Linked DNA regions of Arabidopsis thaliana. The protein of the gene in region 3 interacts with the protein of the main gene of each other region in a pairwise test. Each region holds a gene or a part of one and is shown on either strand. Other genes may lie near its edges.

Evidence for each region.
Region 1: the proteins of BCB (region 3) and AGP27 interact in a protein complementation assay, tested with the Arabidopsis thaliana proteins (one large-scale study listed by BioGRID).
Region 2: the proteins of BCB (region 3) and PGPS2 interact in a protein complementation assay, tested with the Arabidopsis thaliana proteins (one large-scale study listed by BioGRID).
Region 4: the proteins of BCB (region 3) and UMAMIT44 interact in a protein complementation assay, tested with the Arabidopsis thaliana proteins (one large-scale study listed by BioGRID).

Annotation. Positions count from the first base shown.
Region 1 is NC_003074.8:1,926,896-1,930,246, forward strand, and holds AGP27 (arabinogalactan protein 27), read left to right. Parts: upstream 1-1,972; 5' UTR 1,973-2,080; coding exon 2,081-2,458; 3' UTR 2,459-2,789; downstream 2,790-3,351. Other genes in the region: MEE32 (dehydroquinate dehydratase, putative / shikimate dehydrogenase), read right to left, coding at 87-328, 585-806. UniProt on the Arabidopsis thaliana protein: Proteoglycan that seems to be implicated in diverse developmental roles such as differentiation, cell-cell recognition, embryogenesis and programmed cell death.
Region 2 is NC_003074.8:20,394,665-20,399,195, forward strand, and holds PGPS2 (phosphatidylglycerolphosphate synthase 2), read left to right. Parts: upstream 1-1,932; 5' UTR 1,933-2,195; coding exon 2,196-2,376; intron 2,377-2,684; coding exon 2,685-2,782; intron 2,783-2,862; coding exon 2,863-2,913; intron 2,914-3,011; coding exon 3,012-3,125; intron 3,126-3,212; coding exon 3,213-3,269; intron 3,270-3,359; coding exon 3,360-3,560; 3' UTR 3,561-3,989; downstream 3,990-4,531. Other genes in the region: AT3G55020 (Ypt/Rab-GAP domain of gyp1p superfamily protein), read right to left, coding at 1-49; GSTL2 (glutathione transferase lambda 2), read right to left, coding at 4,054-4,152, 4,249-4,356, 4,444-4,520. UniProt on the Arabidopsis thaliana protein: Catalyzes the committed step to the synthesis of the acidic phospholipids, including phosphatidylglycerol (PG). Together with PGPS1, required for the proper embryo development by providing PG accurate levels.
Region 3 is NC_003076.8:6,824,453-6,828,260, forward strand, and holds BCB (blue-copper-binding protein), read left to right. Parts: upstream 1-1,912; 5' UTR 1,913-2,173; coding exon 2,174-2,345; intron 2,346-2,537; coding exon 2,538-2,956; 3' UTR 2,957-3,296; downstream 3,297-3,808. Other genes in the region: AT5G20220 (zinc knuckle (CCHC-type) family protein), read left to right, coding at 1-67, 146-278, 364-456, 556-658, 919-1,319. UniProt on the Arabidopsis thaliana protein: Probably acts as an electron carrier.
Region 4 is NC_003074.8:10,463,730-10,469,479, reverse strand, and holds UMAMIT44 (nodulin MtN21 /EamA-like transporter family protein), read right to left. Parts: upstream 4,221-5,750; 5' UTR 3,894-4,220; coding exon 3,700-3,893; exon of another isoform or gene 3,600-3,699; coding exon 3,534-3,599; exon of another isoform or gene 3,494-3,533; coding exon of another isoform or gene 3,492-3,493; intron 3,394-3,491; coding exon 3,280-3,393; intron 1,749-3,279; coding exon 1,502-1,748; intron 1,424-1,501; coding exon of another isoform or gene 1,404-1,423; coding exon 1,242-1,403; coding exon of another isoform or gene 1,227-1,241; exon of another isoform or gene 1,166-1,226; coding exon 1,017-1,165; intron 912-1,016; coding exon 776-911; 3' UTR 558-775; downstream 1-557. Other genes in the region: AT3G28120 (uncharacterized protein), read left to right, coding at 5,511-5,636.

The DNA.
Region 1 (3,351 bases), on a different chromosome or scaffold from region 3:
TCGTAACTTATTGAAAGCTCGACACAATAAAGCACAAGAAGTTCGATATCAAACATTTAAAAAGTCTCAAGCTTGAACACACAAACCTGTAGGTGAATAAAGTGGGTAGAGGAGATTTCTTAATAATGGTTTTTAGATCCTCAAGAGGATTGAAGTCCTTTAGCCAATCTAATCGAATTTCAACCAAGTCTGCACCCAATTCATGGGCTTTACTCGTTTCAATCACCATCTTGTCTATTGAATCCGCCATCACTGGAGCACAGATCAAGCTCGGATTCTTCACGATATCATGACTTCCGATCTCCATTTCCGTGGAATTTGAAGCCACCTGAGATCACAAAACAGGATAAATTCCACAATCAATTAAAAATCCAACTACTTCTCAGAACTAAACAAAAATTCTGAAGATCGATTCTAAATAGCTAAACCAATGTTGTACACGAAACATCAAAGTCTTCATCCAAAACTAATACCAAATTTATTTGAAGCGATAAATCTGCAAATTCATCATTACCTATCCTTCTCCAATAAAAACGGAACAGAAAACAACAAAAGAAAACTGAACTAAAGGAAGAATCACTAACATAGACATTGCTAGGTTCCATGCTTCGCCGGCGCCTTTGATCGGAAAATACCACCGGAAACGGTACACTCCTTAGCCGCGGGGACGAAGAATCGGCAAAGAAGCGAGTGGAGAAATCGGCGGCTGGAAAACGGAGATTGGCGACGGAGGTAGGTGAAAGTCGGGGTTTGGAGAGTAGACGAGGAGGGTTGGTGAGACGAGCATTAGTTGAAGAAGCTGCCATTGAGAGGCGACAAACAACAACGACCCTTTGCGGCTTTTTTTCACAACTTTTATTGGATTTCTAAATTTTGGTATTTTTAACGTTTTTATACGCTAAAAAATGGTAGGTGAAGTTTCGATTAGGCGCAAAAAAAAATTATTTATATCTCCTTTTCATTTTCTGATATTGACAATTATATATGTTTGTTTAAATCATCAAGAGAAAATTCGTTATCTGTAATCTGAAGTTAAGAATTATAGCAGAACAAATGACATCAACAATATGTGATTTTGTTCACACAAAAAAGAAAGTCAAACAAATAGAGGTCAGCAAGTTCTTGAGTCTTTAACTACACTGGTGGCCATTGTTGGGCATGCAATGTAGAAAACTCAGCACGTTTTGCACTACAATAGTGGGCTGCGTTTTTTGGGCCCATAGGAAGCCTCTTTAGTGGGCTCGAATTGCATAGCAAACTAAAGAACAATAAATAATAAATAATAATAATAATTCCCACACACCACAAAGCTTTTCTTAACTCGCCAATAAACTTTAGTACAAAAGACAACAAAATATTTGTTTAGGAACAACCCAATATAAAATGTGCTTTTTATTTGAACATCCAACGAGGCAACAACAAACGTAATTAGACCATCTCCATTGAAGGTATTTCATAAGAGTTTTTCACAATTAAAAAAATAAAAATAATGAAAATGAAGGAGAGAAAATGTAGAAAGTTTCTCACTTGAAAAATTTTGAGATATTCTCTACAACCCATCATGACAATTCTCATCTCACTATTGATTCAATTTTTTAACAAAATTACTTTTTTAATCAAATAATTAAATTATAATATAATATTAATATTTTTTTTGTTTTAGAAACTTTGTAGGTTTCTCATGGATGGAGATGCCTTTACTCGTACTTAGCAATATGTATAATTTGCATTAACATAATATTTTTCAGCAAAAAGTAAAGCACATGTTTATTCGAAAATATGTGCAATATATAAGAGCTTCTACTAAAAAGTGAAAACTCGATCTACGCCCATCTTCAAGAATTCAGCAAATATATTTTCTTTTCCACCGAACACATCCTTTAAATTGATAAATAATAATCTTTTTGGAAAAAGGTGAGACAAATTCCATTTAAAATCAATTTATAATATTTTACTATTAGAGCTAAAAGTTTTCTTTTATAGAGACAGTATCATTATTACAACACAAAATGCGCTCTCATCAGTTAAGGAAAAAAACAACTCAGCTTTGATTTGTTCATCATTACAGTAACCAAAAAAGATGGCTTCATCTATATTGCTAACACTCATCACCTTCATCTTTCTCTCCTCACTTTCTCTCTCTTCGCCGACGACAAATACAATCCCATCTTCGCAAACAATCTCTCCCTCTGAAGAAAAGATCTCACCGGAGATCGCTCCTCTCCTCCCTTCACCCGCCGTCTCCTCCACTCAAACCATCCCTTCTTCTTCAACACTTCCTGAACCAGAAAACGACGACGTTTCCGCAGATCCTGATCCCGCCTTCGCTCCATCGGCTTCTCCTCCGGCTTCATCTCTTGCTTCTCTGTCTTCTCAAGCTCCCGGAGTTTTCATCTACTTTGTCTTCGCCGCCGTCTATTGTTTCTCGCTCCGGCTTCTTGCCGTTTCAGCTATATAGGTCATTCATATATTTTAGACCACGTACGTCATTATTTTCATGAGTTTATTTGTCCCCTAAAAATAACGAATAAAATTAGATTTAGTTTGATTTTCAATTTTTTTTTACTATTTGTATTTTTTATTGTTCTCCACTTAACATTTTGTTACAGTTTTAGATTGGTTTAGATGAAAAACGCAAGTAATATATTACGTCAGAACCACATAATTGATGCATAATTAACTTAAGAACTCTGGATAAAAATAAAAATAAAAACTAATTTACCGTTAAGTGATTCAATACACTTTGAGGACTTATACTTTTCTCTTCTTTTCATTTCATTTGTTCGTTTACTATACACTAACTTTTTTTTTTTTTTTTATCGCTAAGCTAAAGAACCTTTTGAAAAAGTTGAAATTACGTTTCAAATTAAAGTGACGTCATATGCATGCTTTACAGTATACTGCAGTTTATAGTAGTATCAAAATCAAACGTTCCAAAAATTTGTACTGTTTACATGCAAATAACACTTGAGTAATTATATGTAGACTACTAATTAATTTCGACATAAGTTTATGTAAAACACCAGTTTTTTATGATTATTTTTGTCTTAATCTTGAGACGTGTTTATGAACTGAATGAATGTATTACTTTGTGAATTAACGTATTTAAGTATAGTGCATTATTGCATAATTCCTAAAATGCCACAAGGTTAGAGGCGCATGCATGTGAGTTACTGCATATGCTGGCCTCACGGCTAAAAGCAACAACAAAAAAAGGTGCCTTCTTTTCTTGTCCCACACTTTATCTTATTTCTGGGGTTTCAAAGTCTCAATATTAAAATTAATAATATCTAGGTGAGAAGAAATATGTAAAGGACGTTTCTTGTTTTCACATTATAGGGTTTTATGCGT
Region 2 (4,531 bases), on a different chromosome or scaffold from region 3:
GCTTAGAAGCAGCAGCAGCAGCAGCGGCGGCGGCGGCAACGCTCCTCATTCGTTAGCGTGAAAAAGAGATCTAACCGGTGAAGAGTTGGTGAGAGGACGAAGAAGAAGATCCAAATCTCTACGCTAGTTCATCATTACCCGAATGAAGTTGAAGCAGGAGGAGGAAGTTGCAGTAGAGAGAGAGAGGAAGTGGAGAAATCACATGGAAAGGGCGAGATTGTCGACCAAGGTTTATTACATGTGTGACTCTCTCTCTCTCTCTCTCTCTCTCTCTCTCTCTCTATTTTGACTGCGTTTCGATTCCTTGACACTGAGTCCAAAAGGTCTCTTTCATCTTTCTCTCATTTTTGTATATCTTTTTTACTCCTATCTTTTTAACTACTTACTGATTTTGTATGTAAATGTGAATTTCACAGTTGTCTTCCAATATTTTGCTATGTCAATTTTATCTTCAGATAATTTGATTGAGTTAATTATCTTATTTGTAAGACCAAAATGACAATTTGATGAAAGAAAAATCATATCCTTATATCTAATTTTTGTGTGGTTGTGCGAGTCTATATCAACCTACTTTGAAAGATAGACAAAGTTGTTATTAGATATGGGATTAAGGACATCTACGTCATGTATCATCCTTATAAGATTCAGTTTAAAGTACGAACGTTATTAATTTGATGTATGTGTAACAAGCGTGAACGTATGGTTTACCATACCGTATTCAATTTGTAGCGCGACCATGGTTGGTCTTTAATTATTAACCTCAAATAGTCGAACTTCAAAAAAAAACTAAACACATTTACCAAAATCTTTGATTGATGAGATTCATTTTTAACCCTAAAAAGATAGATATGCAAGAAAATAATTGTGGGGATTGTAATGGTTGTCGATTTGTCGGTAAAGGACCAATTGCTTTAGGAGTTGGTAAAGGACTTTTCTAGGGAATTAAATATGTCTTTAATTTTTTTTTATTTTTTTTTAATAAGTTTTTCTTAGATTCGCTAAATCCATAATCTAAGTATTCACCATATTAAATTTAATCAAGTGGGAAATTTCTATCATATATTAATTAGAATTCTTATTTTAGTTACTAATTGTTTGACTCTAATAGAACTTTCATATATGTAGTTAATAGTCTCACTCTTTTTTCCTTTCAATCACACTTGGCAAACTTAAGAGAGGTTTACATAATTGTGTTAAGAGTTTTAGGTGCAAAATCAATAGAAGATGAAACAAATATGAAAATCCAGATTTGAGAAATTATGAAGAATATCCACCAATGGCTAGTTGAATATATACACAGTTATAACTTTAGTCAATTCAATGGTTTAAATATTATAATCTACTATTTCGTGTACTGTATATTTATTTACCTATATACGTACGTGTATAATTTGGAGTTTTGTTTAGGGGCTAGTAAGGAGCTTAAATTCTTGTTTCTATAATACTCTCACGTTCTCAAACACTTGTTTACAAAACCAAATATTCGTCGGTTTGGGTAAACCAACACAAATGATTATATGGTTGTTCATTATCACAATGATTATCTTCCAAATGTGCACCAAGTTTTTGTTAGTGTTTTAGATTCAATCATGGAAGTATGGAACCACAAACGTACGTAAGAGGAAGAGTGCAGCACATAATAGAAAAGAGCAATGGCCAAAGAAGGCATTACAACGAAATGAGACTTGGGATTTGACACACATCAACTCATGCAAAAGGTTGTAGGTAGCGAATGGGTGTTGAAGATTAACTATCAAAGTGATGACTCCATCGAACAATATAAGTTGAGATTAGTAGCTATATGATATATTTTTTTTGGTGGGAAGTAGCTATATGATATTGATTCATGCAAACATACAACGAAGATATTAGTTTTACATTTTTAACAAATATATAAAATCAAAATCAGCTAAGAATTAAAGAGAAGGCCCAAAACGTGCCATTTGCTTCATTATCAATCGTCCATATCAATCCAAAGTCGACGATTATCGGCGCACGTTACGCACCCGGCTCGCTTATTTTCATAGTTAGCGCACGTTAGCATCTCTCCCAAGCTGCATTATTATTGGCCGTTGTGTGACTCCCATAAAGGCTTAGGGTTCCGGATTCAGGTCGGTGTCGCCACCGCCCTTCTTCGTGCTTCTCTTCCTTCTTTGTCGGATCGTCAGGTTTACAGATCAGCTCTTGTGGAGGATATGGGTGAAGAAGACACCGCGACGGTGGATCAGAACAGTTTCGGTGGTGGCAAAGATTCATTGCTTCGTAATCGTCATTCGTCGCCATTGCCTTCACCGACACAGCTTTCTTCTAAAGTGATTACATTGCCTACCGTATTAACCCTTGGCCGTGTAGCTGCCGTTCCGATTCTCGTCGCCAGTAAGTTTACTTTTTTCGACTCTGAATTCTGGTTGGAGTCATTGTACTTGTTCGGTGTGTGATAGGAGTCTAATCATCAGATCTAAACGAAGATGCAATTGCGATTTTTCCAGATCAGAGTTTTGTTGGTTTGAATTCGAGAAATTCGACAACTTTTTTGAAATTGAGCTTATTGCTATGTGTACTTCACTTGTTACCACTCTTCAAATTTAATCTGAATTGGATCTTTTGATGTTCAATTCCTGATTTTGATTGTTTTATCTCCCATTGCATTATCTTCATCATCTCCTTTGGTTTTTGAAATGTAGCCTTTTACGTTGATTGCTGGTGGGGAAGAACTGCTACGACAAGTATTTTCATTGCAGCAGCCATTACAGATTGGCTTGATGGATATATTGCACGGAAGGTAACTTCTTTCTTTACCCTTTCATGTTCTTCTGCATAGTTGAAATTGTAAGCTTTTAACAGTGAGACGTGCCTTTTCAGATGAGATTGGGTTCTGAATTTGGTGCATTTTTGGATCCAGTGGCAGATAAGGTCAGATACCTTCTTCCTTAGCTACCTCTATCCTCTTTATCTTTTCTCCACCAGAAAGGAATGATTTTTATCATTCTGATTTATGTCATTGGTATGCGCTTATGGTAGCAGCTACATTGATATTGTTGTGCACTAAACCAATGGTCGCCGTTGTCTTAGGACCAGTTCCATGGTTAGTGACAGTACCTTCAATCGCCATCATTGGTAGAGAGGTAAGATACAGAATTCTGATATACCGTTAAGTAAGTTTCACTTATCAGCTTTCTGTTCTAAACTAGTCGGTATACTTTTCACTGTAGATTACTATGTCTGCAGTAAGAGAATGGGCTGCATCTCAAAACGGCAAGCTTTCAGAGGTAAAGTTATCACCATCATGTGCGTTCTCTTGGATCTGTTTTCGTAAGTGTTCCTTTCCTAATCCATGGAAATGGCATTGATGTTGCTAGGCTGTTGCTGTAAATAGCTTGGGAAAGTGGAAAACTGCAACGCAGATGATAGCGCTAACCATACTTCTTGCAAGCCGGGATAGCAGTTTTGAGAGACTATTACCGTCGGGTATTGGGTTGCTCTATGTATCTGCAGGGCTCTCTATATGGTCTTTAGTTGTTTATATGAGGAAGATATGGAGAGTACTGCTAAAGAAGTAGCAACAAAAAACTCTTTTTTCGGGCTTTTTGCATTCAGTATATACACATAGAATGGAAGATTTACCTCTCTTCTTCTTGAAGAAAGCTGACTAATTTCTCTCTGGATACAAATGAAATTAGTTGGGCAAGCACTATAAGACTCTTATATGATGCTTTAGTTCTGTTTTCAACTTTGGGCACTGGGGTCGTACTCTACTTGGTTTGGTTTTGTATAATATCTCTGAATCACATTGCTCCGGCTAGCACCGAATTTTAATGAAGCAGCAAGCACGATCTTATGGGCAATGATGGAAAAGCAGCAGGCGCAATTTCGTTCTAGTCGAAGACTTGGTCTCATGAATTCTGATATAAATGAAAACAATTGTTGCATGTCATGTAGATGCTTTTACCGATACAATATAATTTATATATATAAAAAACTTTGGTTACAATATCTCTTCCCATTTGATCCTTCTAAACCCTTGTAAATGGAGATATCCGGAGAACCATCTGGTTAGAGACGTGCTTCTGCTTGGACTCGTCTCTTGTATCTTTCAACAAGCTCTTGTGGATCTTGACGGGTTTCGGTGTAAGCTTCGATTTTGTTCATCTCCTGCATAAAAGCAAAGAACCAGAGATTAGCATGTGTATGGGGAATATTTAGCCTTAGAATGAAAGGTAGTTACAAATGTCTAGGTAATAGCTTAACCTGAATCCAAAGGGCAAGGTTAGGCCGACCAGATGTAATATCGACGTTCATCACATCACTTAAGATAAGCCGAAATCTCTCTATGAAAGGAGCATATGCAACATCAACCTATAGAAATAAACACCATTTTTTTTCTCAGCAGCAAGAGTTGATATGGGTATGGCAAATTGAATATAGAAATATAATCGACAATACCAAACTAAATTGACCAAGAAAGAAAGGCCCTTCATTGAATTTGGAAAGAGCCTGCTCGATGTAATCAAATGCAACATCTGAAAAAATG
Region 3 (3,808 bases):
GTTTGGGGGATTGTGTCATATGGGAAGAATCAATCGATGAACGACCTTGGGAGAAAGCTAGATCCAGGTAGTGTTGTTATTCAAGAGTTGAAGTCTTAATTCTGTTTAATGTTTGACTAATAAACCTCATTTTTTTCTGCCACAGTTCTCCATTTAGAGTAAAGGAGGATGATGAGGTTGATAATTTAGAGATAAAGTTCAGTAAAAGGCGAAAATCGAAGCGGATTTATCAGTCACCAACTCCTGAAGTTGGACAAAAGATCAGCCGATCTCTAAAAGTTAGTTTCATTCATATACACTTCATGTTATTCTACTCTCTCCATGGGAAATTGTCATAGTCAGTCCAAATTATGGTTTTTATAGAGTCTCAATGCCAAAACTGGACTTTTTAGTAAGCGCATGAAGATTATACATCGTGATCCAGTGCTTCATGCTCAAAGAGTAGCTGCAATTAAGGTCTGTAATCTACTCCATTTTGTTTTATATCCTAAATTAACATGGAACAAGTTTTGTTGTTTTTTTCCCTTGAATCTGCTTAGTGTTGTTGTGTTCTAGAAAGCTAAAGGAACACCAGCTGCTAGAAAGCATGCATCCGAATCTATGAAAGCTTTCTTCAGTAACCCTGTAAACCGTGAACAGAGAAGCCTATCTATGAAAGGTAAGTCTCAGTTTCTTGGTAGAATTTCAGAGTTTAGGTCCATGTAGTACTCTTTTGTTTCTTGAGCTTTATCTGTTTACATTCTCCAATAATGTGAGATCACTGTGATGAATTAGGTTGAGGCTTGTCACTTAAAGTTGAGATATAATGTTGATTCGAAGTGTAGAAATGTAGGTTTCGATTTGATTTCCTTTTGTGGTGACAGTTCCATGTGCAAGCTATGAAATGGTAAAAGAACCATTTTTCTCTCATTGATTCAGGAACTAAGTTTTACTGCAAGAACTGTGGACAGGAAGGCCATAGACGCCATTACTGTCCAGAACTAGGCACTAATGCGGACAGAAAATTTAGATGTCGGGGTTGCGGCGGGAAAGGCCACAACCGTAGAACTTGTCCTAAGTCGAAATCAATAGTCACTAAAGGCATTTCCACTAGGTATCACAAATGTGGAATATGCGGTGAGAGAGGTCACAACAGCAGAACATGCCGGAAGCCGACCGGAGTGAATCCTAGTTGCAGTGGTGAAAATTCCGGGGAAGATGGTGTTGGTAAAATAACGTATGCTTGTGGGTTCTGCAAGAAAATGGGACATAATGTAAGAACCTGTCCAAGTAAACAAGTTTCAGACAGTGATTCTTGTTTAGAGCAAGAAGGTTCTTGAACCTGTTTATTTGGTTAGGCTTGGTTTTGCTATTGAAGCTGAAATAACCAATCACTGACAAGTCCTTTTTAGCGGATGGATATTTCGGGTTTATAATCGGACCAATCACTTGAGTCCCGATTGGTCTTTTTTGAACTATCTAAACTCAAACAAAAACTGAAGTGAGTTTGACCGCTTTTGGTTTCGGGTTATGACCGCATTCGTTTACGTGCAAGTATATATACTTGTTGGGTTGATTTTTCTTGAATACGACCTGAATTGGTACAACGGACCCATGCAAAGAAAGACAATCGAGCCTAGAAATTTCTGAACAATTATCGACTTATCCATATAAATGCTATAAACACCTAATATCTCATCCATATCCACATTTAACACTTTGTTTTTTCTAACATTAGTATGCTACTATTCTTCGATGCCTTAATATCGGATGGTTATTATTAGGTAGTTATATTTAGTCTGAACACTAAATTTTATAATCATTACCCAAAAAGTAATTAGTCACGTTTTTTACTTGATCTAAATTTACAAATGTACAATGTCTTTACGCGCTAAAAATAACAATTGTGGACAAAAAAAACTTAGCAGACAAAATTGACCACAAGTGATAATATCTAAATTTGGATTTGTTCAACGACACAACACGTAACGCGTCTTCCCGTATCTTGCGTATGACTCCTTGAGAGCCTCTCTTTAATTGTCCTATAAATATAAGTCTCTCTTGCAAGACTTTTGAAACCACAACAAACACAAAAATCAAAAGGGGTCATTTACTATCTTTTAAGAGACGACATATATAGTTCTCGACCAAGAAAAGAAAAGGGGGTGACCTGAGTTCTTCAACACATAACATAATGGCCGGAGTTTTCAAAACGGTTACGTTTCTTGTTTTGGTTTTCGCTGCCGTTGTTGTCTTCGCGGAGGACTACGATGTTGGTGATGATACGGAATGGACGAGACCTATGGACCCCGAGTTCTATACTACTTGGGCTACCGGTAAAACTTTCCGTGTAGGCGACGAGCTCGGTGAGTTTTATTGTTCTTATAGCTGAAATATGTCTTTGTTTTTCTTGTTCTTATAACAGTCATAGTTATGGGATCGTGCATGGATCATGTCGGTGTTGTTCTGTCTTTCTTTCTATATTCTTATGAACATATTTTAGCTAAAAAAGGGATTAATTGAGTTTCCACCGACTGATGTTGATATTCTTATTACAGAATTTGATTTCGCTGCTGGGAGGCATGATGTGGCAGTTGTATCAGAAGCTGCATTTGAAAACTGTGAGAAAGAGAAACCCATTAGCCACATGACCGTTCCTCCGGTCAAAATTATGCTAAACACCACTGGACCACAATACTTTATCTGCACCGTCGGTGACCATTGTCGTTTTGGTCAAAAACTTTCCATCACTGTAGTTGCTGCTGGTGCAACTGGAGGTGCTACTCCTGGTGCCGGTGCTACCCCAGCACCTGGATCAACCCCAAGTACTGGAGGAACCACTCCTCCCACTGCGGGTGGGACCACAACACCTTCAGGCTCTAGCGGAACCACTACTCCAGCTGGAAATGCCGCTTCCTCATTAGGTGGTGCTACTTTTCTGGTCGCTTTTGTTTCTGCTGTTGTTGCTCTCTTTTGAGTCACACTCGAAACCTAGTTATGTATTTGTTTTACCTTACTCTCCTTATTTAAATAGTCATGTATTTGATTATTTGTGAGAATAAGGACTTGTTTTCAAGTCATTATAAACGTCTTATACTTGTGATTAGTATTGAGTTTCAATATATGATTATTCGGTTGCAAAATAAAGAGTGGGTTTCAATATCATTGAGATTACTACTATATATTACCATATTTCATGAAAATTAGTCATCTTCTTCATCCAATTTGTCTAGTTTTCATGTATAATTAGACAAAATTTGCCTTCTCAATATTTTCAATCAACGAGTAAACATTACCTGATTGTGAACCGAAGTTAGAATAATATTAAAAAGACATAGGTTATCTACTAATTCAATATACCAACAATATGGTATTTTTGTTTCAGTGGATACGTTTCTCACCTGAATTCACAACTTTTTTTTTTTTTTTTTTTTTTTTTTGTGTGTGGAGATTTTTAATCTCTGGCTTTATAGTTTGATAATCGAGAAAATGCCAAAAAGTATGCCCGTACTAAGTACAAAACATAAGACCACAAAATTCCACAATAAATTGACACGTGTCTGATCGACGTGAATCAAGAAAACCATAAACTTGTTTTGTTTTCAACAACCAAAGACATTTTCCCCATAACAATGTAAGCATGATAAAGTCTAATGGTTATACCAAGGTCTTTGGTAATTACACTGCTCCTTTTTCTTTTTTTTTTTTCCTTTTTCTAAACCATCTGAATTTAACTTTATTTTATTTACTTCATTTGTCAATGTGATATCTTCAACTTTCAATAATTTAATATGTTTGATTTTTTAGTGTAGCTACGATATTCGATAAG
Region 4 (5,750 bases), on a different chromosome or scaffold from region 3:
TATTATACTGCTATATTCTTAAATACTTTATCAAAATATGTTAGTTTTACAAAAGACCCTAAAATCTACCATCTACAAAAAATTAAATTCATTTTAATTATAAAGTCTAATATGTCATTAAATCGAGTTATATATTAGTTTATATATGAATTTATAAATTAATTTAAATTTTACAATTAAACAAAATTAAATTTCAGTTCGAATTTATAAAAAAAAACAGTTTGCGTTTATGTTTTACAACATAAAGAAATTAAATATCGGTTCGAATTTATACAAAAATATTAAAATTTGATTTTATAGTTAAACGAGATTATTTATTAATTTAATATTTTGTAATTTTGTCTTGTTGATAATTTTTTTTTTTTTTTTCACATGATAATATTGTCTCCCGCAGTCAAATTATTAGGTTTTTCCCTGTGATATGAGTATTCGCTTTCTAAAGATGATATCATGATTAGCCTTTGTAAACATTTCTCTTCATGGGGAGAGGTCACTGATATTATGATTCTTGATGAAGGTAGCGACAGGTTTGTCGCTTCTTCTTCCTCCAATTTTCCCAACTCTCTCAATCTATTTTCATATTATTCAAAAACATTTGTCCGTAACATGTGTTCAAAAATGAGTAACAAAATATATTGTTCAATGTTCAGTTACAAAGCTATATAGAACATTTTATTGTTACTAATAGAGTGCTCCTAATCTCGATCAACACAAACACATTCTACAAAGAGCTAATCATATTAATTAAATCATCGTTTCCAATATTCTTGTAAATCTATATTCGGTCGTCTATGTTTTCGTCTAGAAGAGGAGTTTCCTCTGACAGCGACAAGAACTGAGTCTTCCCTTCTTTTGCTTTTCCCCACATCACAGTGTAAAACCCTAACGATATCAAAATCCCTCCGACCAAACTGCAACATTAACCACATAACAAGAAACCATTAGATTAGATGTGTGGTTTTTCTTGTTTCACAAACAAGTGTGTCTGAAGATTATTGATTCATATATACATATACCTTCCTAGGTAAAAAGAATCTCCAAGAAAAATCGCTCCCATAATCACTGCTATTAAAATCGATAAAGGTCTGAATATAGCTAAGTAAACAGGTCCTTTATTACGTACTGCCCACAGATGAATCGCGTAATATCCTGGATTAAATATTCCCTGCGAAAAATAGCTATAGTATTGAAAAGAAGTTTAAGATATAATTAAGTTTTCTAAAATATTAAAATTTACGTACCCCAACAACTATGCAAACTAATGTAATGTCAAAATGAATGATCCATATGCTCGGATTGTTCTTTTCTGCTACGATTCCGATCAATGACGTCAAGATTGAAGCAATCAGAAAATAGAAGAAAGAGACCGTGAATGGTGCTGGATATAACTTCATTATATGTGCCTGTCCAATTCAATATTAATCTACTATAAGGAAAATTTAGTTTATGTACATGCAAGTATGTATGATGTATCAAGTTAAGAGAATTAATATGTTATTACTTGAAGAATAAAAGCAACAGGAACGAGGGTGTCTTTGATGGCTAAAAGACAACCACCGATGATCCAATCCGAGTTTGAGGATGATAACGGCAAAAGAAGCTGACGGAGTTGTGGAAATGGTGGAGAAGATGGGGTGAAGACTCGTGGACCATGGTAGAGAACTACCACAAGTGCGCCAACTAGTGAAACTATTGTCCCAACCATTTTGGCTACACTACTCTTTTCTTTGAAAGATGCTTTCTCCATTCTATTTTTTTGTTTCACAAATAGAAAACATGATAAATATTTAAATGATCAAATATTTTGCTAAATGGAAAAAGCAATTCATTTTAATCATACAAATGAAAATTTTCAAAATTGCTATCACCTATGAAATTTGTAATAAAACTTGACACAGTAATAAATAAAAATAATTTTAAAAATGTAGTTATTTCCACTTCTCTTAAACAAATATATATTTAATACATTAAAGAATAATAGAAACTCACAAACTTTTTTTTTTAATCATCCCAAAAGATGTTTTGAGACATTGTGTTTTTGTGGTTCGGTTCTCAGAATAGCCCCATTAAAAAAAATTGTGGTGGATTTATTGTGTACTCTAAATTAAGAGGAAAGATTTGGTATTTCTGGATTTTTAGTTGTCTTTCCGGGTTTCGCACCTAAAATTATATGGTAGGCTTTCACTCTCTCGAGTTTTGTTTTTGTACTTAAATTTTAAATAATTAAAAATGAAAAGGATTAGGTTTTACAAAAATGTATAACTACAAAACTGGGATTTTTGTGGTTTGTTTTGTTCTAGTTTCTCCAAGAACCGATAAACATTGTGACTACTACTTAAATCAATAATACTGTATAATAAATAAGGGTACCATATATATGTGCTCTAGCCTCCATGTTCCTATATGTTCAAGATTATAATGTGTTTCGGGGCTCATATGGCCTCCTCTGTATCTCACAAAAGAAACGACTTAGTTAGGCATTTTTTGAAAATGCGATTATTATAAAGTTCAAAACTTAAATTTAAGTTTTGATTTATTTTTTGAAAATGGATCCGCAAAATTTAAATATTGTTCTGTAAGTAGTTAAAATCGGTTCAAAACTTCCAAACTGATCAATTTCAGGAAAAAAACAAACCTCAAACTTTCTTTTGATCATACCAAACCTTCTTCTGATAAATAAAAATTCTGAAATTCTTTATACATCAAATTGATTAAAATCAAAGTAAAATATTAGTGTTACAAAAACCTAAAAAATTGTTTTTATTTAGAACATCACAAATAGGACCTGATGTTACATTATAGCTAATGTCCATTTTAAAAATATGAACCTGACTAACATGTGCCACACAATTATTCCTGTCATTTTTTTTGTCGTTATTTATTCCTGTCATTTTCCTGAACCTGATGTAGATCTAACAATATATAATTAAACTTTGAAAAACTGCTATCGAAATTCTGAATTTAATTATTAAACATGTAAATTAAGTACAAAATTTATTTATTTATTTTACAAACTGATGATTCAAGTGTCTTATCTGTGTTAATCTACAAAACAGCTCACCTTTATTAAATAATCATATCTGTGTTATCTGAATTAATATTCTCTTTATAAAACTAACCCAAAAAATCATGGATTAAATACTAATTAACAATTAAATACTTATTAACGAGAAACAAAAGTTTTTATATTTTTTTTTGTTAATAGGTAGAAAATTTCTGACGTTACTAATTAACAATTCATAATTGTAAGAAAAAAAGGTAAATGGATTAAAATAAAACCTGAAGATAATGGCAAGGATGAAGGTAATGGCAGGATTGATATTGCTAATGGCTGAAGCTAAGGTTGGGTTGCTGTATTCGATGCCTATGAATCCTGTGATCAGATACGTTGACCTGTTCATTTATATTCACATTTAGCAAAAAGTAAAGTATATTAGAAACATTTTCAGGTTAATAAAAATTTCTTTACCAACAATTAGGAAAATAATTACATTCAAAAGTTGAAGAAGAACAAGAAGTGTAGTTGGCTTTACCCTAGCAGCCCAAGAACTCCAATTTTACAGAGAATTGAAAGACTTAGTGAAGGAAGTGATCTTGACCTGCAAAAGAATGCACAAGTAATCAAATGAAAACTTTTGACAAAACAAGAATCAATCAAACAGGGTTTATTAACTAACAAAAAGATTGTTATTTAGAAACCTATAAGAGAAGATGTGAGAAGGAAGAAGAACAATAGAGCCAATGAGATAAGAATAGATGAGGAAGGTATAAGAATTAAGGCCTTTTGAAGTCGCTGCTTTAAACAAAGTATTCATAGCCACATTTCCGGTTTCAGTCGCCAACATGGCCGTCAATAACACGGCGTCTCTCCGACGGAGAGTAATGGAGGCCATTGTCGGCAAGTCAAAAGATATAAAGCTTAGTGTGTGGAATGACTCATGATAAAAATCCAGGAGAGTATTTTGTATATCTTGTGACCAAAATGATGATTAAGTCTCAAAAATAATTGAAATTTTGGTGGGCCATTCTATCATTTGGTCTCTCCTTGTTATACGTGAAATGATAATTTGGATATTTAAATTTGCCTATGCTTATTGGACTTTCTCAAGTGTGGTTTTTCTTTTAACTCTCTTGGAATTGAGAAGTCGTGTTCACAAATTCCGACCAAATGGCCAAAGATTTTATCAATTATAAAACCTCGAGTGTTTTTGTAACGCTTGAAGATGGACAAACTCTTAAACAAAGCGTTCCTCACAAATACACAATGGATTAAAAAAAAAAAATGAGAGAGATACAGAAACTGTTCTCAAACAAGAGACATATAATGTCAACTTTTATTTTCTATATAATAAGTTAAAGGTCATATCTATAAATATTTACTAAAGAAAATTTCACCGTTAACACTTTTCTCAGTTTTTTTTTCACGAAGAGGTAAAGTGGATTGAGCCAACCAGCTTTTAGCCACTTGGGCTTAATTGGACGAATCTGCCCTGGAACGAGAAATGAAAGAAAACTGTTCAGTTTCGTTCCTTTGTATTCTGGTTACGGAAATAATTTTAAATCTTTAAAATTAAATAAATAAAAATGTAAATAATTTTAAAACTTAAAATAAAATCAAAAACTGTCTTCGAGAAACGCAGAACAGTTTCGACGAACTCCGTATTCGAAGACGCATAAAAATTCCGACAAAACTTAAACCCAATTCCGATTGAGGCTCTGTTCGAGTTCGAGTCTTTGCTTGAGTGGAGAAAATTTCGATCGAGTTCGTTTTAAAGTGTCTAACAAAAAGAGGATTTTCTGGTTATCATACTAAAATGGCAGAGATGAAGAAGAGTAGTCGGCGGCGAGGAGTTTCGGAAGTTAATGTATCATCGTCGGCGACGACAATTATGGGTAAGGGTAAGAGGTTGAAGAAGAGTGCAAAATTAAAATTGCAGAGGTTGAAGAAGAGTGCAAAATTAGGGTTGCAGAGGTTGAAGACGAATGCAAAATTATAATTATACCCTTCAATAAATTTCTTATGTGTACGTATATGTAATTTACGGTGTACGTACATGTGGACATGTAAATATAATAGATTATGTTTTATTGTTAAAGCGGTATACACAATTATATATTGAGTTTGTACATTATAAATCTTTGTTTTTTTTTTTTGTTTTTTTTTTGTCAACCGATATTAATATAGACTCAAACGAGCCAATCCCGAGAGATATTGTTTACATATGTGACATGGTACGGCTTTGGTTATTTTGATTAGATGAGATATTTCCGGAGTTTTCTCCATAAAATCTATGCATATATAATAATTAAGTAAAAATATATAGTCAAAGTATAGATATTCTTAATACTTTTGAAAAATGATGTACGTACATCTTTTCATGAGTTAAAATTGTTGAGATATATTTATTGATACAATAATAAACCAATATTGACGATGGTGAGGGTATATTCTACTATAGTCCTACTAGAGATGAAGACATTGTTATTTACAATATTGACGAATTTTTGTAATGTTTGGTATCTACGATGGTGCATACGGCGAGTTAGCCAAATGTTATGTATTTAGTACGATATATATGATATTTTTTGTTTTGATGTTGTTGTTTCTATTTAATTGTTATTTTGACATTCTTTAGTAAGCGTTATGTTATACGATATTATTTGTTGAGAATAGGTAAGATTTAAAACTAAACCCGTAGACGTACACGATAATATTGAGATACACGTACACGTGTATGACCTCTCCAAAC